2 linked regions of the Lepisosteus oculatus genome follow. The protein of the gene in region 1 interacts with the protein of each later gene in a pairwise test. Links are inferred from orthologs where the notes say so. Each region holds a gene or a part of one and is shown in the gene's direction. Other genes may lie near its edges.

Region 1 (10,570 bases):
ATGCAAGGATGGGGTTTCAATAACTAACCAATTAACCAATTAATAAAATCTAAATCTAAACCAATTAATAAAATCCTACCTGTAGGTGAGAGTTAGTGATATGACACAAATGATGCCGTACACAGAGTGAAATACTCTCAAGTGGACATGTACATGTATAAGTCATCAACATGGAATAAAATAGACAAGAACATAGAGTATTGAATCACAGAGATATCCAATATCTTAGTGAAGGTATTCCAAGTGTGTTGGCGAGGTCTCCACAAGTCCTTTATGGCTTTCAAAGCTTTTGCTTGTTTTAGCAAGGTATGAAGCTTGGTCAATCATTTCACAGAGCAAAGTGTTTAAACTCATCAGCACAGCTTGGTTCATGCTTTTTAAAAGTGTTTTCCATCACAGTTCTGTTCTGATAAAAAAAATGTATCTTGTCTTGGTTGAAGGACAGTTTTTCAAGCAAGGCTTCTGTCCGAAGCACATGCTTCTGAACAGGCCACTGGGGGTCTGTCAAGTTCCTGGCCACGGGCAGGAGAAACCCCCCACCACAGTCATCTGGGAGATCGGTGAGGGAGCCCTGGGACAGGTCCTGGGCTGAGGCCTTGGTCATGGTGGACCAGTCATGGAGTCAAGGCAGCAGCCGAGTCAACAGTCATCCGAATCATGATTTGGCTATAACCAAAGTCTCTCCAAGATGGGTGCCCCTAAACTTCAGTGCTCAGGGTCGACACCAGTGGAGGGAGTCAATTGCTCGACTTGTACTGAGCTCCCTGCCTGACCGGATGCTAGAGGTGAGACGCGAGTTCACCAATGCTGCGCACCCTGAGAGCCGCCAGGAATCCATGCGTCTGAAGCTCCAGGGGGCTCTGCCTCCAAGACACTACACACTAAACCACCAGGGGCCAAGATCAGCTTTATTAAGGAAGAGCAGCATTGAGGAGGAGGAGGCAGTGCCGAGGGATGACCTGCCACAGTTGCTCCTTGCCAGATTCCTTCTGCGGAAGGAAATACCTCAATATTTCTGTACTGTATGAGCCATTTACATCAAAAACAGGACAACCAATGATCACCTGGGATTAATAAGGTATAGCAGAGCACAGCTGTCTCTTGATGTCTAGTTATAGCCACTCTTCAGCCTTGACAATGTCTGAAGCTGCCACTTGAAATCAAGGACATACTGTACCAGACAGAACAGCCCAGTCAAGTACAGTGCACTAATGAGTCAGGTTGAATCCTGCAGACTGTGCATGCTTTGACAGTTTATTTATGAACTAGGGTAACTCACTTATACTGTATGTATGTGTAAGGTAATTCACTTACCATGCATACACATGCACACGTATTCTGATATGCTGCTTCTTTTGTATTCATCCCAGCAGAGTGATATACAGTAAGATCCCACCTGCTGGTGGTTTCCAGAAGGATTTAGCAACGAGGAAACGGGTTTGATCTGTGATCTCCGTGGCTCGGTGCTTTGTTTTGACAGGCATTACATGTCCTCTGTTCTTCACATCTCTCCATTCTCGAGTCACACCACAGGGACTCGAGAATCGTTCGTCCAAAATATCGTGTTCACAAAGCCACACACACCCCGAGCTTACACACGGTCTGGATTTTCCAGCAGCAAGTCCTCCCTCGAGCTGTGAGCCAGCACCTGTAGCGATGACAGCTTTGGGACTCCGGCCCAAGTTCTATGAGCACTCTGAAATTGACACGTACAACCTTCAGTAATGTTATTACTGTGAAGAAATGCACACCTGTGGGGCATGTTAAATACAGTGAGTCAAATGTGGTAGTCATTAGGAATCTGAACACTCAGCACACAGTAGTGCTAGAGAAAATGAGCTGCCCTGGTTTTTTAATCATATCACTGCCTGCTTCCAATGAAAAAAGTTTTTTTAAATATTAATTCCTGAGAAAGACTATGTGAACTAGATGAAGTGATTTCAAGAGTTTTTATAAATGGCTGGGTGGATTAATGATTGCTCTAACGGATCTCGTCATGCAGCAACTTGAAAGAAACCAGTGTTTTTTAATCATTGTTGAGTGGTTGTTTACCACAGCATCGATTGACAGGATTTCAGAATAATAATGTGATTTACAAAAATACAAGACTTAGAGCTGTTTCTGGAATGGAGACAAAAGCATAGGAAAGGGATAAGGGGGTTAAACACTTAAATAAAGACTTTCCTTCAGTACAAAGGAACAAACATCTTTGAGATTTTGCAAGGGCAACCTGTTTAATTTCGTTCTCCCTGTCCTGCAAATGAACTATTTAAAATATGAACTGAAAGTCGAAAAATTGAAATCAATGCTGAGATTCGTAACTACCAGCTGTGTCCCCTCTGAACATTCTCTAACAAAACAGGAAGCTTCACTGCAAAGTTTTTTTTCTTTGAATGTGTGCCAGTTAAAATAATATAACATTCAAAAGTAATGGTTTTGATTGTATATTTTTTCATTAATAACTTCCTAAAGATAAATACAGAATAATTCTGGTAATTTTAAGGAAGAATAAAGTGCACACTTTCATTTCTTAATTCTTATTTTATCAATCAAATGCCACTGTATGAAATGGTTGGAATGCACAAGACTAAAGTTGTGAATATTTAAGAAGCATAAAATAATTATATCAGATTGAAAATAATAATAATACACTAAACTCACAGTGTGATATTAAGAACATAAGAAAGGTTAAAAAATTAGAGGAGATTTCAACCTATGGAGCCCATTTAGTAGTTAGTAACTGATCCAAAGATCTAATTCAAATGTTTTAAAGAACCCAGGATATCAGCTTCAACAACATGGATGGGTAGCTTTTCTATACTTGCACTGGGAGTATTATTCTGTATTGCAGCAGAACAGCATTGAATCAAATGATTTATTGCATATACAGGTAAGGCACTGATGTGAGTATGAGTAAATACATATTTCTTCATTTACTTAAGTGCATTTCATAGGTATTGCGTTTTAATACGCATTTAAAGCTAGATTTCAGAATGGATTTAATGATATTTCAATAAATGTCATTTTGAGTCAGCCTATGTCAGTTATTAAGCCAATATTTTATTGATTTTAATTAGAGAGCCATATTTGTGCTCACAGCCAATTTAAACTGTCATTTTAAAAGTGACACAGTATTTGTAATCTGTTACTTGAACCATTTTTTCTTTCTCTCAGAAGCTTTGGCAGTGAAGTGGCAATTTGGTCTGCCTGGCTGCCTCTTCACACCAGTCACTTGCTGACTTCATTGCTTTTTTTTAATGTGTTAACTCAAGCAATTAACAAAATAAACACTGTGTCTTCAAATCTCCCGGGACCGTTGATCTGCTTTTTCTATTACAGCACATTAGCTATGGCTTGGCTACTATGGACAGCGAGCCCCGATAGTGCATTTCCAGGAGAAACTGCAGTGTTCAGGCTGCCTTGTGGTAAGAATTCCAGACTTGACATCGGCAGTTCAGCCACCCATGTACAAGCTGTGAAGGTGAAGTGCAGAGGACAGAAAACTCACAACAACAACTGTTTTCCCCAACAAACACTTCATGTCAGATTCCCTAATTACAGCTTTTTTAATGCCTTCTGCCAGGAATTGCTTCTCGTTATCTTTGTGTAAAGTCATGCAATGTTGAAGCTCTTAACCAGACCTTTCCTTACACAAACTGCATTTACTGAAGTCTTGCAGAAACTTGCTGCACTGAGTGCTTTCTGTTTCATTGTTTTGTTAATTATTGAATGCATGAGTGCACTGAAAGCAATGTGAAATATAGCTGGATATTATAATGGAATTAAATGCATTTACACATAGTTTTTAACAATAATAATAATTATTGTTGTGCTTTTCTGGACACTCCACTCAAAGCGCTTTACAGGTAATGGGGATCCCCTCCACCACCACCAATGTGCAGCCCCACCTGGATGATGCGACGGCAGCCATAGTGCGCCAGAACGCTCACCACACACCAGCTCTCAGTGGGGATGAGAGCAGAGTAATGAAGCCAATTCATACTGTAGATGGGGATTATTAGGAGGCCATAATTGGTAAGGGCCAATGGGAAATTTGGCCAGGACATTGGGGTTACACCCCTACTCTTTTTGAGAAACGCCCTGGGATTTTTAATGACCACAGAGAGTCAGGACCTCGGTTTTACGTCTCATCCGAAGGACGGCGCCTGTTTACAGTACAGTGTCCCCGTCACTATACTGGGGCATGAGGACCCACACAGACCGCAGGGTGAGCGCCCCCTGCTGGCCCCACTAACACCTCTTCCAGCAGCAACCTTAGTTTTTTTGCCCCAGGAGGTCTCCCATCCAGGTACTGACCAGGCTCACACCTGCTGAGCTTCAGTGGGCTGCCAGTTGTGTGTTGCAGAGTGATATGGCTGCTTTTCCAACTAGATTTGATGGAATTATTTGATAATGTATTGCACTCTGCCCTAAAACTGTTATAAGGAAAAGAATTGTTTGAAAATGGATTGTTTGAAAATGGACAAATTAACCTCCTTAAAGAGAAATAACGCAGCAGTCCTAAAATCTCATAGCTCTGATAAGTTTTAAAATGACATTGGGGGTGAGGAGCTTCAATACTAATACTACTGAGAAACAAGGGCTCTCAGCCAAGTTATATTCCAGAGTCTGGGTCATTACTATTAAGAGTAGAGGGAGGGATCAGATATACTAGAAAATGTCCTCATTTTTTTTCCCTGGAAAATTTTCCAGGCCTGTTTTCTTTAAATTGTTATGAACCGGCACAGGAGGGGAAGGAGACTTATTTCATATTGTTTCCTGTTCATTCGTTGATACAATGTAATTGGTTCTCCTGCACACAGGGCAGCTGGCAGGTGAAGCAAAGTTTCCAGTGAAGAACTTGGAGCACAGGTGTCTCTCATTGTGCCGATGGTGCAGACCTTGACCCAGAAGGCCTGCGCTGAAAACATTCCGACACAGCATGTGCGGCACCACTCTTGTGCTTTGAGTTTCAAGCTGAAGGAGAGAGTGGTCTATGCATTTAATGTCATCCCTGGCACAGCTCTTAGTTTCTAAAATGTCATTGATACTACAAATGACCTCCAGAATTATCTGCTGCAGCTATCACTCCCTACCTCAATTCATTCCATCATTAGTTTTGCCCTAGCAATGGGGTGGCATATTTTAAGTTATAACATTCGGGTAATTTGGGTAAAATTTTAAAAATCAAAGGCTATTTTGTACCGATTCATTGATAGGGGTGGGTTTTGCAGGGATCTACTTTATGATTGCTATTTTGAATGTGCCTCTTAACCACATAGTCCTAAATTAGGGAGGGGGAGGGGCGTACATTTAAAATATTTTTTTATTAGAATGCTGACACAGCATCAGTCGACAATCTGAACAGGAAAATGTTGCCTTAGGTCCCAGCTGACTGTAAGGAGGTCATAAAAACTTCAGAAGTGTTGAATGTTGACTGTTGGTCAGCTCACCCCGGCGTCTGACCTTTTGTAAATCCTGCAAGAGGTTTTAAGAAAATGATGTGAACGAACGCCAGCGCGGTTGTTACTGAGTTTTAGTCTGCTTTACTTGAACACCACATCCTGGACTGAACAGATCGTGGATTTCAGCACAAACTGAGATGTACAGAGGTGTGCCACAAAGGGAACAGAAGCAAAGGCAACAGTATTTGTTTAGTTTATTTTGATTTTCATAATACCCTTCTTGCTAATGAGGTATTAGTTCACTAAAGCTGCATGTGTCTAATCAGAAATAGAACAGAGGCACTATTCTCAGTTAAATCTCCTCTCTAATCCCTTCCGGTATAAAGGTACTGTATCTTAGTCGAAAGGATTACCTTCTTCATCAGTCTTTTTTCAAATACATAAATGCCAACATCTTACCTGAATCTAAATGTCCCTCAATTTAACTCATCTTGCATTATATTATCATAATATCTCACACCATAAATCCTTTCCTTTACACCTAAATCTCTGCTTTGAAAACTGGGATGACCAACGTGACGAGAAGTACAGTACACTAGCTGACATGACTGTATAACGAGCATTTTATATCAAGTGACCCTTTCAACAACAGCAAATAAGTCCGCTATCTCTTTGAACAAATTGGATTTCGATACAAGGAGCTCAGCTAAAGGGCTGAGAAGAATAAGATGATGCTCTTTGATGAGGTCAGCAATGTAAGTACACATCGGCGTATTTGTGAGGCCAGCGAAGCGGTCTACGCGTCCGGAAATCATCACTTTTCAGAGAGCTGGGGCTCTAGATGTCCCGGGCTTGCACTGAAAATGCCGTCAAGTGTCCAGTATTTGATACATCATAAACAACATCATTATCATCGTCCTTATGCCTGAATTAAAACTACCGACGGGAGCCCAACAGAAACTAGGTGTGGCGGACGGCGGATGGCCGGGTTGCGCGAAGTCCTTTTAAATCGCGAGAAAACTTTGGGAATCACACCACGCTGTGTTAACATCGTATCTCTGGATATTTATTCTCACGTATAACATAAATGATATGGGGGTTCTGGAAGACTACACACTTTTTTTCTTTTATTCATTCCTGATCTCTCGGGAGCTACAGTCGCCGGCTCGCCCAGGCACCGGGACAGCCCGGACCCGTCTAGGCGCTGCCTGCGCCGCAAGTCGCTTTACGGCAGCGTGATCCACACACCGCCGCAAGAAATGAAACCCGGCAGAGCTGAATGAAAGCAGAAAGGGGGCGGGAAGGGAAGGGGGGGGAGTGCTGAATTGTATCCGAGCCGTCGCCGCTTCCCCCGCACAGTCTCAGTCTCGGATACAGGTGGCCCGGGCACGACGAGAGGCATGGTCTGCACAGCTGCCCCGCACGGTGTGGCGCTCCTGCTCGGCCTCGCCAGCTGCGCTCTGCTCCTCGGCCCGGCGAGGTGCGAGGACGGAGCCGAGGAGGACGAGCACTCGAAACATCTGTACACGGCCGAGATGTTCGGCAACGCCGTCGAGATCGCCCCGCACTTCGTCATGTTCTTCGCCCCCTGGTAATGGGTTTTTATTCCTCTGCCGGTACAACAACAACAAGAACAGCAGCAAAAAGGGCTGTCGCTCGATTCGAGGTGTTAACGTTTTTAGGATGGCCTTATCCGCCTTCGCCCGTAAAACCGCGAGTGCAACCAGGGAAGAAGGAGGGGGGTGGGAAAGATTAGTGGATCTTGCATGGCGTGGGCCGCCTGGGTTTGTGAAGTCTTAATGGAGCTCGAATGTAACGTGAGAAGCAAAAAAAAAAGACTTTTAAAAGAACATTGTTGCACGTCGTGTCGTGATCGGCAGGACGCACGGCCGATTTGTTAACGGGACATGAATAGGAAAATAAACTAGACGGTTCCTGACGCTCTCAAGGCGAGATTAGGATCTGAAAGGGAGGTTTTGCTAAACTTTTTTTTTTTGTTCTTAAAACAATGGGCGCTTTGGGATGCCGCGGGAAGGAGGGTCCTTTTAGGGACGGGTTCGGTTGGGGATTAGTGATTTATTGTGGACGCGATGGAAGAGGACGAGCTTTAAATTAGTAGTTTTCTCTTGCAGTCATGTTGCTCTTGCACGGTAGAACAAAAGTGTATCCAAGTGGCCTAAAAAGGATTTGATGTCCCAGCGTTAGCTCTGGGATCCGGAGTTGTGCCGTGGCTGCTGACGTGGCTAGTACTGACGTATCTCTTACAGACGGATATAGCTACACACCTAGATTGAATAATTTTTGGTCAGCATAGCATTACTGGTTTATACGAGGAATTGCCTTTTCAGCAGCCAGTTTTGAACTTTAACACGTCCTTGATCTGTGACTGCACGCGTGAACTAGGAAATGTTTAAACTCGAGGTCTGCTTCGATTGAACATTACCTTGCTGGATCTGCGGTTTAGGTCAAGGAAGTCTAAGATGCCATGTCACTGTGAGGTTCTTATGCATGATATGTGCCAGAGGACTGCAGTATTCGTCCTGGACGGTTGGTGTGTGTCTGCAGGGTTTCCAGGCAGGTCGGTGGGTCCAATAAACCCAATAAGAAGTTGATTTTTAATTCATTAGGGTTAATTAGAGCTAATGTTTCATGAAACCCTGCAGACACAGTGGCTGTTCGGGATCAGAAATGAAGACTGCTGCCTTTGGGTAATCACAGGGCACAGAAACATTTCTTTCCGACTTTTTTCTGATTTTTTAAAAATTATTACCAGTTATTTTTATTTTGATATCAACATTGCCACCTTTTATTTGGTGAAGAGCCACTACTTGAAAGCAGATGGGAAACCAGCAGGTTACTAGTCTAGTGTGAAGCAGCAGCTCCCAGAGAGCTAGGGGCTGTCGTAGAAGTGATCCAGTTAGGCCGATACTGACCCGATTCAGGTCGTCACGTGCCCAGCTGGGCACTGACCCAGACTGAAATCCAGGGGGGATCCCGAGCTCAGCTGCGAAGGGGCGCTCGTGCTGCAGTCTGCAGCCTGAGTGCAGAGCACACACTAACGTCCGAACATCACAACCTCCCTGCTGCTGTCACCAGACTGTTCAGTTCCATTTCCACAGCCTGCAGCTCCTCGTCTTGAGCCGTTCTCTCACTACTGGCGCCTCTCTGGAGTGAAAGTGTGAAGGCCAGGCTGTCCCAGCTTTGAGTGGCTCATTGACTGTCGCAGGGGCTGAGGTGTAGCCTAGCTGGTGAGACGTGTCTCACCCCTCCCCCCCCCCCTTCTGTCTCCTCAGGTGTGGCCACTGCCAGAGGCTCCAGGGCACGTGGAACGAGATGGCGGACAAGTACAACAGCATGGAGTCGCCCCCCGCCTACGTTGTCAAGGTGGACTGCACGAAGGAGACCACGGTCTGCTCTGGACAGGGCGTCCGAGGGTACCCCACGTGAGTGTGTTTCAGGAACACGCGTGTGCGGTTTGCCTTCGTGTGTACAGGGGGAACTCCGGATGGGGCCAAATGAACGAAAACAGCTGCACTGGGGATCCTCACCTCAAGCAGCATTGGGGAGCAGGAAAAGACACCTGGCCTCCTCTCGCTCAGAACCGGGTTTTTTCACCTCATCCAGAAAGACACAGACATTGCTGCCGGTCACTGGAGGGGGTCTGGGTTGTGCCAGCAAGGCATCTGGACTAAAAACATAAGATGAAATACGCAGACGAGGCTGAAGAGTATCCTCTGACTGACTTGTCTGTCCTAGACGGTCATTTTACACCTGCTCTTTTTGTGGTTGCTCCTGGAATTTCTTCTCTTTGTAGAAGAGTGATTGGTTTGGTAGCCGTCCCTGAAGAGGACCAGTTGTAGATGAATAGTGTTCTTTTAGTCCCATTAGTGTGTGGCGCTCCCTCTGGATTCACACATCAGGTGCTTGACTGTTCTGCGGGTCTCTAGTGTATTAAATTATCGTACCAAATGTGTATAATAATACTGGTATTGAAAGAGAAGTGGAGCATGTTTATTCTTGAGCAATTTGATTAGATGGGGAAGCTTGGCGGTTTTTATTGTTCTTCCTTCCTTTATTTGTTATGGGATTCAGCGTTCTCTACAGCAAACATTCAACCGATGACAAATTTTCTTGTTCTACTCCAGACAATTAAAGATGCAGTGGCGCAGAGGCGTTTAACATTCAAGGCGCATAGCTCGATCAAAAGCGGTTGTCAAGTGCCCTGCTGCGTGGCTTTGGTTAAGTGAAAGAAGAGGCCACGGTAAAATAAAAGACTGCATGATGTTTTATTAATGCCTGTCGAAACTTTTAAATGGAACACCTCATGCTTTCCATGTTGCTCTCTGTCTGTAGTAGTAATAGGAAATCTGAATCAAGCAGATAACATCTCACATGGCATAGCTGGAAAAAGCCGTCTCATTTAACAAGAATGTCTCTCAGTCTTAGGAAGAGGGTAGCAAAGAACGTCTTGGTGTTACTGCTTGACATGTTGCAGACTTTAAATGTTATATCTAAACTAGTGTGTGAGCAGTTAAATCATCGTTAATCTGTTGTGTAATGGTCTCTAAGATTTTGCTTTTGCGGTTTCACCTAATGATTCCCTTCATTATGTAGACAAGTGTTAATGTTATACAACATTTAACATTGCTGACGGTGTCGCGTTAAGCTTGTTTGGACTGTGTTTTGTGTTAAAGATTGCTGAATAACAAGCTTGATTTATTCTCTCCCAAACTATCGCAGATGAGTAACGGTCACAATTGTTGTAATATTGGAAACTAAAGGAGGCTTTGAGGAAACTGTTGATGCTCACAGAGTGTACATATTTTAATTCCTGAAGGCGGCTAAGATGTCATGAGATATTTACACACCACTGTATTTCGTAAATTTTTAATTTTTCTTTGAAAGATGTTAGAGATGCAGCTTGTTAAAAAATATTGCATAATATGCGTGAAATTGAAGTAAAAACCAGTTGAATCTTTACCTGGTCCTTCCCCACTTTGATTGTTTTTGGGGATTTTGAAACTACTGTACCTTGGAGATATATTTCTGTCTTTGTTTCACAGCAAGGATCTCTTCAGTTTCAAGATGCACACGAATGTTCATTTGTGTGTTTTGTGTTCTTGGACATATCCTGACTCTACCGTATTGTATAAGTGCAATGAAAA
Region 2 (10,416 bases), on another chromosome or scaffold:
ACAGTTACGATGTTTTTTCTTTTGGTGTTTTTGGTCAAGGGGTTGAAAAAAACCGCGAGTCAAACCTTTTAAACTCCATCAGCACATGTAGCAAAAACGAGACAAAACTGATTGTTCTGTTCTGCTGTTCTGTCTGTTGTCTCTACCATGACTAAGGAAGGTCCTTCATTCATAGTGTTGCAAGGGTAGATTGTTCTTTGTCAAAATGAAACAAGTTTGCACTGTAGACAGAACCTCTTTTAGATTGTAGTTTTTCTTTTTTAATTTTGCACTGTCATGTCCTTCTCTGGCATACTGTGAAGTTTAGGTGTGTGGATAATAGGATTATTAAGGAGGTGTGTCATTGAGAAACCACAATCTTTGTTGCAGTCATGTGCATGCACAGTTTTACTCCTGTGCTCTGTTAGCATAAATGTTTTAGATCTAGATTTCCAATTACAGAGGAGTATTAATGATCGACAGATGTCCTTCATGTGAAGCAAATCTTATATGGTACGTGTTGAAATACAGGCCGCCCAAGTTGTGACTGTTGTTTTTTGTACTAATTTTTAACTTCAGAAATTCTTTATTTTTATTACCAGGGTGGGCACCAGTGGTAACATTAAAGTTACTGGTGTGAAACCAGAATTTTTATTTCAATAACTGCAAATAAACACTTTTCTTAATTTTAATTTTAAAATGCCGTTTTAAGTGTATAACAGAACTGTAGAGATAGCATACAGATTGTAGTTAGGAAAGGATTCCCCAAAGGGAAAGTCATTCCTTAAGTAATGTACTGTTTCTGACATCTCTTAGCATAGTGATATGGGTGTTGATATTGATGTCTACCATTCCTGTGCTAGCATTCCTGATTGCCTATCTTTCAGTGCCAAAGCTAACTTACGGTCTTCCATTTTGGTGATTTTTCTGAGACCAGCAGAACTGACTACTTTTCTTCAGTGCCCACTGCTTCAGAAACTAATGATTGTTGCTGAAAATTCTAATTTTTAATAACGTTTTAACAATTTTTTCTTCTGTCATTCTGGGGCAACTGGTCTCAAAATTTAGTGAATTTTTAATTGCCTAAATAATATTGCATGGCTTGGACTACATTTCCTTTGAATTTGATTCATAGGAATTCCTTTACGTAGTGCAATCTGCTACAAATCTTCTGGGTACTAGTCTTTTCCAATTAAGACTGTCATGCTTTTGATGTATATTTGCAGTCAAAACTCTTTGGATTGAAAGTTGCATCCTAGTAGACAGATTAGTCATATAGAAACACATACTAGTAATGTGAAATATATATTTTATTCTTTATTTAAAATATTTTAGCATTTCAAAAATAGCCTAGTTTGTGCTGTTTCTTTCTATTGTGGAGTTCAGTCTCTAGTAAAATTGAACTTCTGCTATATGCCAGAGAAGGTAAGATTGGGCCAAATTAAAAGAAATAAAAAAGTCTGCACTCTTTAAAGGGGATCGGTTTAAAGTCATAAAACCCTCCTCTTTGTTGGATGTTTATTGCCAGTCTTTCCATAGAAATGAGTCAGATGATTAGTAGAGAAATATATTGCCCCAAAAATTCAAAGTATCTTTTTTTTGTTGCATGGATGGATATTTTTTTAAGAAGAAATATAAAATGACATCTTTATGACAACTTTGAATGTGAACTAAAACAATTATTTAAAAAAATGTGTCTCATCTCTTTTGTTATTTATGTGTATATATTAGTTTTAGTGATTGACATGCAACACATCTGGAACAGTACACTTAAGAAAAACACTGAAAGATTCTACTACTGTGCTGCACATCAGCAGAACTGAACTGTATTTTAATCTCATTTAATCTTTTATAATATCTGGTGTACAGGGAGCATACATTTTATTTAAAAGGGCCTGAATATATTTTTATATGTTTTTCATCTGGGTCCATTTTTCTAGAGCACCTTAGGGAGTCTTTGGATTAATAAAGGGTGCTACAGGTATATGAATCCATGTTGTTAATTTTGATAGGAAAACAATCTTGCAATTTGAAATTTGGATGTACCAGTTATAAATCAGTCCTTTAATAGGGAATCCTGGCTACATTACATTTTCACACCAGACATCAAATGCTTGTGTCTTGTCATGTCTGGGCAGCTTTATAGTAGTTTATTTTCCGAATGTATAGCAGTGCAAAGAAAGCAGTTGCCAAGCCCAGTGGCATAAATTCATTGTATTAGAATGTTCATGTAACAATGTTAGAGCAATGTACTCCCTAGGATTAAGCCAATAAATGGTTAATAAAAATCCTACCAATGTTTTGCAGCATAACAGCACTGGCAAGTGACAGAAACTGGATTTTATTTGTAATTGCTCATGGCTGAAAATTCTTAGATTCCTATAGAATCTTTCTATAATCTTAATTTCCCTCCATGTCATAGAAATTAAGATTATAGGAAGCATCAGAGAATGTCCTGTTTTGGGTAGTGATTCACATGGAATATGTGCAGATTTTGCTGATAAAATGGGTCAAGGGATCAGAGTATTCTGTGGGTATCGCCACAATCTTCCATGTTGATCTGTTTTGAACATCTTTTCACTTGAGGTGAAAATTGAGATCCCATGAAGCATTCAGCTGCAGCATGGAATTTGTACTTCTGGAACTTACTGTACATATAATTGCTTAAGAATAAGAAACTGGATCAATCGCCTCAAACCTATATTAAAACTGGTGCATTTGAACTCTTCCCTATACCACAAGCTACAAAATATTTGTATTTTTTTCACTATGCTGCTGCCGGAAAGAAGACTTGGGAAGTAAGACTATATGACGTCAGCAGCCATGTCACTCTGCAACTCACAACTGGCAGCCCAATGAAGCTAAGCAGGTGTGAGCCTGGTCAGTACCTGGATGGAGACCTCCTGGGAAAAACTAAGGCTGCTTACCGAAGAGGTGTTAGTGGGGCCAGCAGGGGGCACTCACCCTGCGGTCCAGGTGGGTCCTAATGCCCCAGTATAGTGACTGAGACACTATACTGTAAATAGGTGCCGTCCTTCAGATGAGACGTAAAACCGAGGTCCTGACTCTCTGTGGTCATTAAAAATCCCAGGGTGTTTCTCGAAAAGAGTAGGGGTGTAACCCCGGTGTCCTGGCCAAATTTCCCATTGGCCCATACCAATCATGGCTTCCTAATAATCCCCACTCTGAATTGGCTTAATTACTCTGCTCTCCTCCCACTGATAGCTGATGTGTGGTGAGCGTTCTGGCGCGCTATGCCTGCCATCGCATCATCCAGGTGGGGCTGCACATTGGTGGTGGTGGAGGGGAGTCCCCATTACCTGTAAAGCACTTTGAGTGGAGTATCCAGAAAAGCGCTATATAAGTGTAACCAATTATTATTGGGTTTAATAACATATTAACTTGCAATTGAAACTAGAAATAGTACATATAAACATTCAAATAATATCAGTGCTGCAAAACAGGTCAGTACAATTAGTTAATATTCCATCCAACTAAGTGCACACAAATATACTAGACAAACTTCTGAACGTTTTTAAAACTGTGTGCAGGCAGATAGTAACTTTTGCTGAATTCTATGCATGTTGTGTCACTTAAAGCATAAGAATACCCATAGCAAATTAAACTTGTAGACTTGCCAGGAATCTTTCCAAGCATCGCCTGGAACATGCAGTTTTTTGAGGTAAGCACAGAAAAAGCTATGAAGTAAAGGAGAAAATACAGTATTGTGGAAGTGTTTTTCAGAATCTATTCATCAAGTATCGCTGAGAGGAACTAATGTTAGAATATTATAACATTATAATACTCATTAATAATAAAACATCTGTGTAACCAAATGACCTGTAGAGCAGCAACACAAACAGTAGTCACATCATTTATCCCTTAAACAAGACATCTAATCAAAAAGATTTTTCAATTTTGATTTTCATATTAATTGAAATCAATTTGAATATTTACTGTACATGATAAGTACAAACATTCAAACATGATGCAGCTTTTTATTCCATAATTAAACTTGAAAATACAGACTCAAATTCAGAAGTGTATCATGTAAACATTATATACTGTATATTTGATTAAGTAATATCTTCTCAGTTAACTCTTTGTCTCTTTATTGACAGTACACTGGTGCCTTGAGGTGGGATAAATAAAAACTAACATTTTATTGATGTCAAAACAAAACCAGATTGATTTCACCAGGTATATAGTCGCTAGAAGTTGCAGTATTAAAATTTCACAGTAAAACATTTTTCTCAGAAATGGTGATGCAATTTTTTCCCATTTCACAGACTAATATAATTAGAAATGGATTACAGCAATGCATCATACAACTTGTTCGATATTGCACCAGTGGTTACAAAGATTAGGTTTTAAGGCTTTCTTTTTCTAGTGAGACTAAGATCTTGGTAAGCTTTACCCTGAAGAAACACATTTTTACCAGTGTAAATCTGTGGCCATTCTCTAAAGCTGTGCTCCTGGTCTTGAAGAACTATGGGTCCATCGGGTTTTCATTTCATCCATCCTCTCAATGTCTTAATTGAATTAATTATTGATGATGGAATTGGTCTTAATTGCAGCTGTTTCTAATCATAGAAGGGTTTGAGTTCCTTGTAACAGTGGTTCTCAAGAATGGTCCTGGGGCACTGTTGGATTTTCATTTATTTTGTGCTCTAGCCAAGTTCAAATTGTATGTGAATTTATTGAGATTTTCTAATATAGGTATGTTATTAGGTTTTCTTTCATCTCATAAGAAGTGAATGGAGTTTCTAACTATCAATTTTGTGCCAATTCCTCGGTTTCAGAGTTATCCAGGTATGTTAACTAAAAATGTGACCAGAGTAACCGAAGAAAAAAAAAACTTTAGGTGTGCCTGATGCAATGTCGTGCCTATCTGTGCTCATAATTAAAAGCTTTTAAGACAGAAATAATGGGAATAATTAGGAAGTTGAGGAGAGACTTATAAATGTATATTTGTGGAAGGTGCATATAACATTCTTTAGGGTATTTCTGAAACCAAGGACTTAATGCAGAAAAAAGAATGAACCAGCAAATAGATCAAGCATCCTTTCGCACTGGTTATCGGTGGATTCCCAGTTGGACTTAAAACTGGCACTGTTGTCCTTCGGGACCAGGGGTGAGAACCACCAGCCTATAATAAAGGGGTCACCAGCACTGGTTCTCAAAACCCACAATGGTCTTCATCCAAAATCACTCATTTCTGAAGATCAGGGAGCCATTGTAAGTTAGTGATCAATTAAGCAAGTTGCTTTTAATTCAGGGAACTTTGGGTCTTAAGGGCTCAATTTATGTTCCAAATCATGTGTAAATTACTCTATTCACCAGATTTCCTACAATTTATCACAAGTTCTCCAGAGTCATAAAGATTGATTTGTTACCTATAAAACCGGGAGTAGTATGGATATGCTTTACATTATAAACCCAGGGGCTGTCAGAAGGACGTCTCTGGACCGTATGCATATGGAAAATCAACCCATCCACTGTATTTTCGCATTAAACGTCGCCAATACGAGGTCACGCTATATTTTGCAAGCTAACTGGACTAAAATAAGATTTTCTTGGATTCACCTCGGCGTTCAGAGACTGTTTCAGTTCTTAACATGTAGTTCATTTCACGGTACTCTAAAATACACGTCTTTCTGGTACTAACAATAATATAGGTGTAGTTACAACGGTAATCACTGTATTAAAAGCTCTAAATCTAACCATCTAACTATGGAACCCCTTACCATTATCTTCATTGTCTTCACCCGCCTAATGCAAGGAAGACTAAATCACCAGAATTCTAGTCACGTACCTTTATTTGAGATCGTTTTTTTAACTATGCACTTGCTCAACTTGCTTCTTTCTAATTGGACAAATGGACTAATACGTCATGGGTAACTCGTATGTACGTCAGCAAAAAAAAAAAGACCTTAGTGTTGTGTGCGATTGCTATTGGACAATTCGCACTACTTCCTCCTTGCCACGTTAGTTCCTTGTGATAGGCCGGCAAGCACCGTGGAAGGGGCGCGGTCAAACCAGGATGTACAAAATAAAACACTCGCTGAGGTAATTGTGCAGCCAAAACACAATGCAAAGGAGCAGTAGTGTTATAATCTGAATGATGAGTAAGGAGACTCTGCAGTAATGTGGTTTACTCATCCTCCCCCTTCGCAACTTCCCTATTTCCTCACAACTTGGCGTCCATTGGTTGCTAGGTGACCGAATGGAAGAACCAACGTGCTGATAAAAAGAAGAGGACGTTTTATTTGTTTCGAATTAAGAAAAATCCCAAATATAAATGCCATGTTTATATTAGTCGCTAGATATTAGTATAGGGGCATCTTGCTGCCTTCACCGAGTTTATTCATAATTTTGTTAAAGTCACCTTCCTGCAAAGTGGTATTTCCCAATGACCCCTAACCCCAGATTTCGTAGTAGTTGTTGTTCAAATGCATTGTGGTCTTGTCCCGCCCCTTTGATAGAGTTACTGTGCTGTCAGTCATTCACGAAAGAGAAAACAGTAATATTGTAGTTTATATATTGTGCAAATTATTTAACAGCCCTGCCGTATCGAGATCGCTGTTTTGAGTACACATTCCAGGCCGAACAGTGAAATATCCTAAAGTTTGATACAGCAGGTAAGTGACGAAGTGAGAAGGTTTTGATTCTCAACGGCAAATGTGCTGCTGTATGAAGTTTGCTTTTTTCATTCGGGTTCTGCCTTTATTTTTAGTGTTGTTTTCAGTATTAACTCATCTTAATGTTTTTCCATTTTAGACTTTGATGTGTGCATTCGAAGAAAAAGTAACTGCTGAATGTATTTTTCATCATAGCTCGCAGGACGCTTGTTAATGTGTGCAACAATACTGTACAGTGCTGCATACCAGTTCGTTCAATTACTCATCACAACCTGTGATGGTACAGGTGTTTTCGTTCACTTCATATGCCACGAAAAAAATGATTATGTTTCGGGACTAATACTTTTCAGTTATTACAGTGCACATAGTTTTTAATTAAACCGTGAAGTGCGTCAAATGTAATCCTGCCGATAATTGTTATTCGTGTTTTTTATGAATGAAATGTTTTTTTACACGTAACCAGCCGTGACGTCATGTTTTCAATTCGCTAACTACCTCGAATAACTGGACTAACTTGTTGAACAGACACAGTAGATTGTAGATGCAGTGTGAATCACGATCTCTGAGTCTTCGTCTTCCTGGACATTTCAGGCAGTGAAAGTAGCAATGTTCAAATACATTATATTACATTCTTCTGAACTTGCAAAAAAAACGCCTTTTTTTTTACTTCAGTGTGTTTTTATGGGTTTTTGTGTCTGTTAAGTGACTTCTGTGTTTGCCACGAGGGTCTTATTGACCTTCTGTTTCAAAATATTTTTATTTCTGTCTCTTGTTCTGTGGTATGATCCATTAAAGGTGAGGTCAATGTCAGTTCATAATAGATGTAATTTCTGCATTACTGTCAGTTTCTGTAGTGTTATTTCATCTCCCATAAACAGAAGAATAAATACAGTGTCCACCATTCAGTAATTGTGTTGACAGTCTTCAGCTCGTCCATAACCCAGCCTCCATTGTAACCATAGAAAAGTCACACAAATTTGAAGCTGAACTGTGCAATCTGTTTTGCCTATCATGAGATGCATGTCATGCTAAATACATTGTGATTTTTTTTTATTTTCCACTCTGAAATAAAAAAAATCCAAAGTATATGTTAGCTTGGCTTTACTCTGAATATGGTCTTCTACCGTAAGTTTTTGCCACCACAGAAGGATAATAATAGTAATGTATTATATTATATTATTGGACGCTTCACTCAAAGCGCTTTATTGGTAATGGGGACTCTCCTACACCACCACCAATGTGCAGCATCCACCTGGATGATGCGACGGCAGCCATAGTGCGCCAGAACGCTCCCCACACATCAGCTATCAGTGGGGAGGAGAACAGAGTGATGTAGCCAACTTATAGATGGGGATTATTAGGAGGCCATGATTGATAAAGGCCAATGGGAAATTTGGCCAGGACGCAGGAGTTACAACCTTACTCTTTTCTAGAAACGCCCTGGGATTTTTAATGACCACAGAGAGTCAGGACCTGAGTTTTACGTCTCATCCGAAGGATAATATTAAAGAGCTCTGGTTGAAAAATCAAAGCTGTAGTGGTTCAAGGGCAACAGAAGTTCTTTGTATTGTGAAGAAAATTAGACAAAGAGAAGGTGGTAAACTGATCCTATGTCCTTATTTAGTCCTTCCATACACTGATCAAGACTTGGAAAGGCACTTGAACTGCTGAGGCCGTGGTGACAGGATTATAGAGGGAGTCATGTGAAGTGATAACGGTCCAACAGTTACAGCTGGCATTATGCAAAGATGAAGTTACATAGGGGTGTGTAGAGGGAAAATTGAAAGAGCTGAATGTTCAGTGCTTAGAGGAGATGCCTGCCTCAGACTGAGCCACCTGTCTCTACACCATCTTTCAGGTCAACATGAAAGCGCTGATCTTGGTTGGTGGCTATGGGACAAGACTTCGACCCCTGACGCTGAGCGTGCCAAAGCCATTGGTGGAGTTCTGCAACAAGCCCATTCTTCTGCACCAGGTGGAAGCCCTGGTGAAGGTCAGTACAGATTTTGTGTGATTGAAAGTAATTATTCCTTCAGGAAATTGACTGAGTCCTGCCGATCATCTATGGTGTCCCACCTTTAAAAACAGTGGAAGTAAAATTATCAAGGACTCTGCTAATATTCAAGGTAAGTCTTCAACCATGGTAGGGTGTTTTACTAATAGAAATAACCATTATGTTTTGAAACTTGTTCTTCTGTGAATCTTCATTCCTGAGCTGTTTTTCTTACAAAAAGCTGCCAGTCAAAAAGAAAAATCAGTCTTGTTCTTATGTATTTTTGTCTGTAACCAGAGTAGTTCAGGTTCCATTCAGAGTAGTTCCTTGTGGTATGTGATGGTCTTAAGTCCAAGGGAAATGGTCTGTGTGCTAAGTGGAGTTTTTTTTGCATTGCTTAGGCTGGTGTGAACCATGTCATCCTGGCTGTCAGCTACATGTCTGAGCTGCTGGAGAAGGAAATGAAGGCCCAGGAGCAGAGGGTAGGTGGCTTGGAAGATGTGAAAGAGAAGGAGCTTATTTCTGGGAATGCTTAGTTTATAAGGGACATGGGGATTCAGGGTGACTTTGATATTCACTGTCACATACTGTATCGGCACTTTGTTCATATTATGACTTTTACAACTAGTACAACTAGTCAGAGGCATATATATAAATGGTTACATTTGAAGGGCTATAATTTTCACATTTGAACATGTACAGTCAATACATGTGGATATATTAGACATAACCTTAAAGGATTACAGTAACATAGACAGCTTTGCTGCCTTACCAGAGGAGCATCTAGTTCCTGCATGTTTATGTCTGATGTTAGACTACCCACTACTTGTGGGTGCTGAATACCCGTATTTAGTGTTTGAATCGCTTTAAAGCGGGACATTTTCGCCGAGCTTCTGTGTTTCATGCCATTTCTTATCTTGCTCTCTCACAGCTTGGGATTCGAATATCCCTCTCTCATGAAAAGGAGCCATTGGGAACAGGTAAGTGAATCAGGAAGGACTGGAAAAATACTAAAACCAGCAACAACAATAATTGCTCTTGAGCACCTTAATAAGTACAGACTTTGAAGACTGAAAGGCATAAAAACATATGAAAAGGGAAATTCTCGCTTTTTAAAAAACAATATTGTGAGATTAAGAAGTAAGATGTGGTGAGCTGTGCCTGAGAAGCACTTCAGTGTTATTGATATAGTCATATATTTAGCTCAGGATGAATTAATTAATTAAGGATGAATTCCCTCACTGCTGGTGAATAACTGACTTGCTCAGTGATCCACTTTCCCCTTGGTCTAATAACTTGGATAATTTTTCTGAATCTGATTATCAGTTTACCAGAGGATCAAATCAAGTTTTTACTCATTCCTGTTCACATGTGGTTTGCAATGGTGTCGTCAGATAGCAAGCCATTGCCTTTCCAACTACTTTCTGTCAAGACTGGCACAATTAAATGTACCCAACACTAATAAAAGAGGTGAAGACTCTTTTCGTCTGGTGTTTTCGTTAGTCAGATGAACTCATGCTAAAGTATTACATGACCCCAACACCCATGCTAAAGTATTACATAAAATTAAATAAAAATATTGAATAATGAGAAATATTGAATATATAATCTGATCTATAAAAGTAGTTGCATATAAAGTAGTTTGCAATTGTTGAATGTGAATAACAAGAGAGCATCGTTTCAGGACAGAGAACCCCCTTTGTTAAAAACAATGGGTGAACTTGGGCCGTTAAAGGGGACGTCCTGTTTTATGTGCGAATGATTACTGCAGGCTCACTGTTCAGTGGCTGATATTTTGATGTA

What was found.
Region 2: the proteins of txndc5 (region 1) and gmppb interact in a two-hybrid assay, tested with the Homo sapiens proteins (2 studies listed by BioGRID and IntAct). The two-hybrid records come from large-scale screens. The link is inferred for Lepisosteus oculatus from reciprocal best matches to the Homo sapiens genes TXNDC5 and GMPPB.

What each region holds. Positions count from the first base shown.
Region 1 is NC_090701.1:3,350,187-3,360,756, reverse strand, and holds the start of txndc5 (thioredoxin domain-containing protein 5), read left to right. Parts: upstream 1-6,378; 5' UTR 6,379-6,805; coding exon 6,806-6,996; intron 6,997-8,698; coding exon 8,699-8,848; intron 8,849-10,570. UniProt on the Homo sapiens protein: Protein disulfide isomerase of the endoplasmic reticulum lumen involved in the formation of disulfide bonds in proteins. Can reduce insulin disulfide bonds.
Region 2 is NC_090699.1:57,052,958-57,063,373, forward strand, and holds the start of gmppb (mannose-1-phosphate guanyltransferase beta), read left to right. Parts: upstream 1-6,428; 5' UTR 6,429-6,620; intron 6,621-8,478; 5' UTR 8,479-8,484; coding exon 8,485-8,613; intron 8,614-9,014; coding exon 9,015-9,095; intron 9,096-9,544; coding exon 9,545-9,593; intron 9,594-10,416. UniProt on the Homo sapiens protein: Catalytic subunit of the GMPPA-GMPPB mannose-1-phosphate guanylyltransferase complex. Catalyzes the formation of GDP-mannose, an essential precursor of glycan moieties of glycoproteins and glycolipids. Can catalyze the reverse reaction in vitro.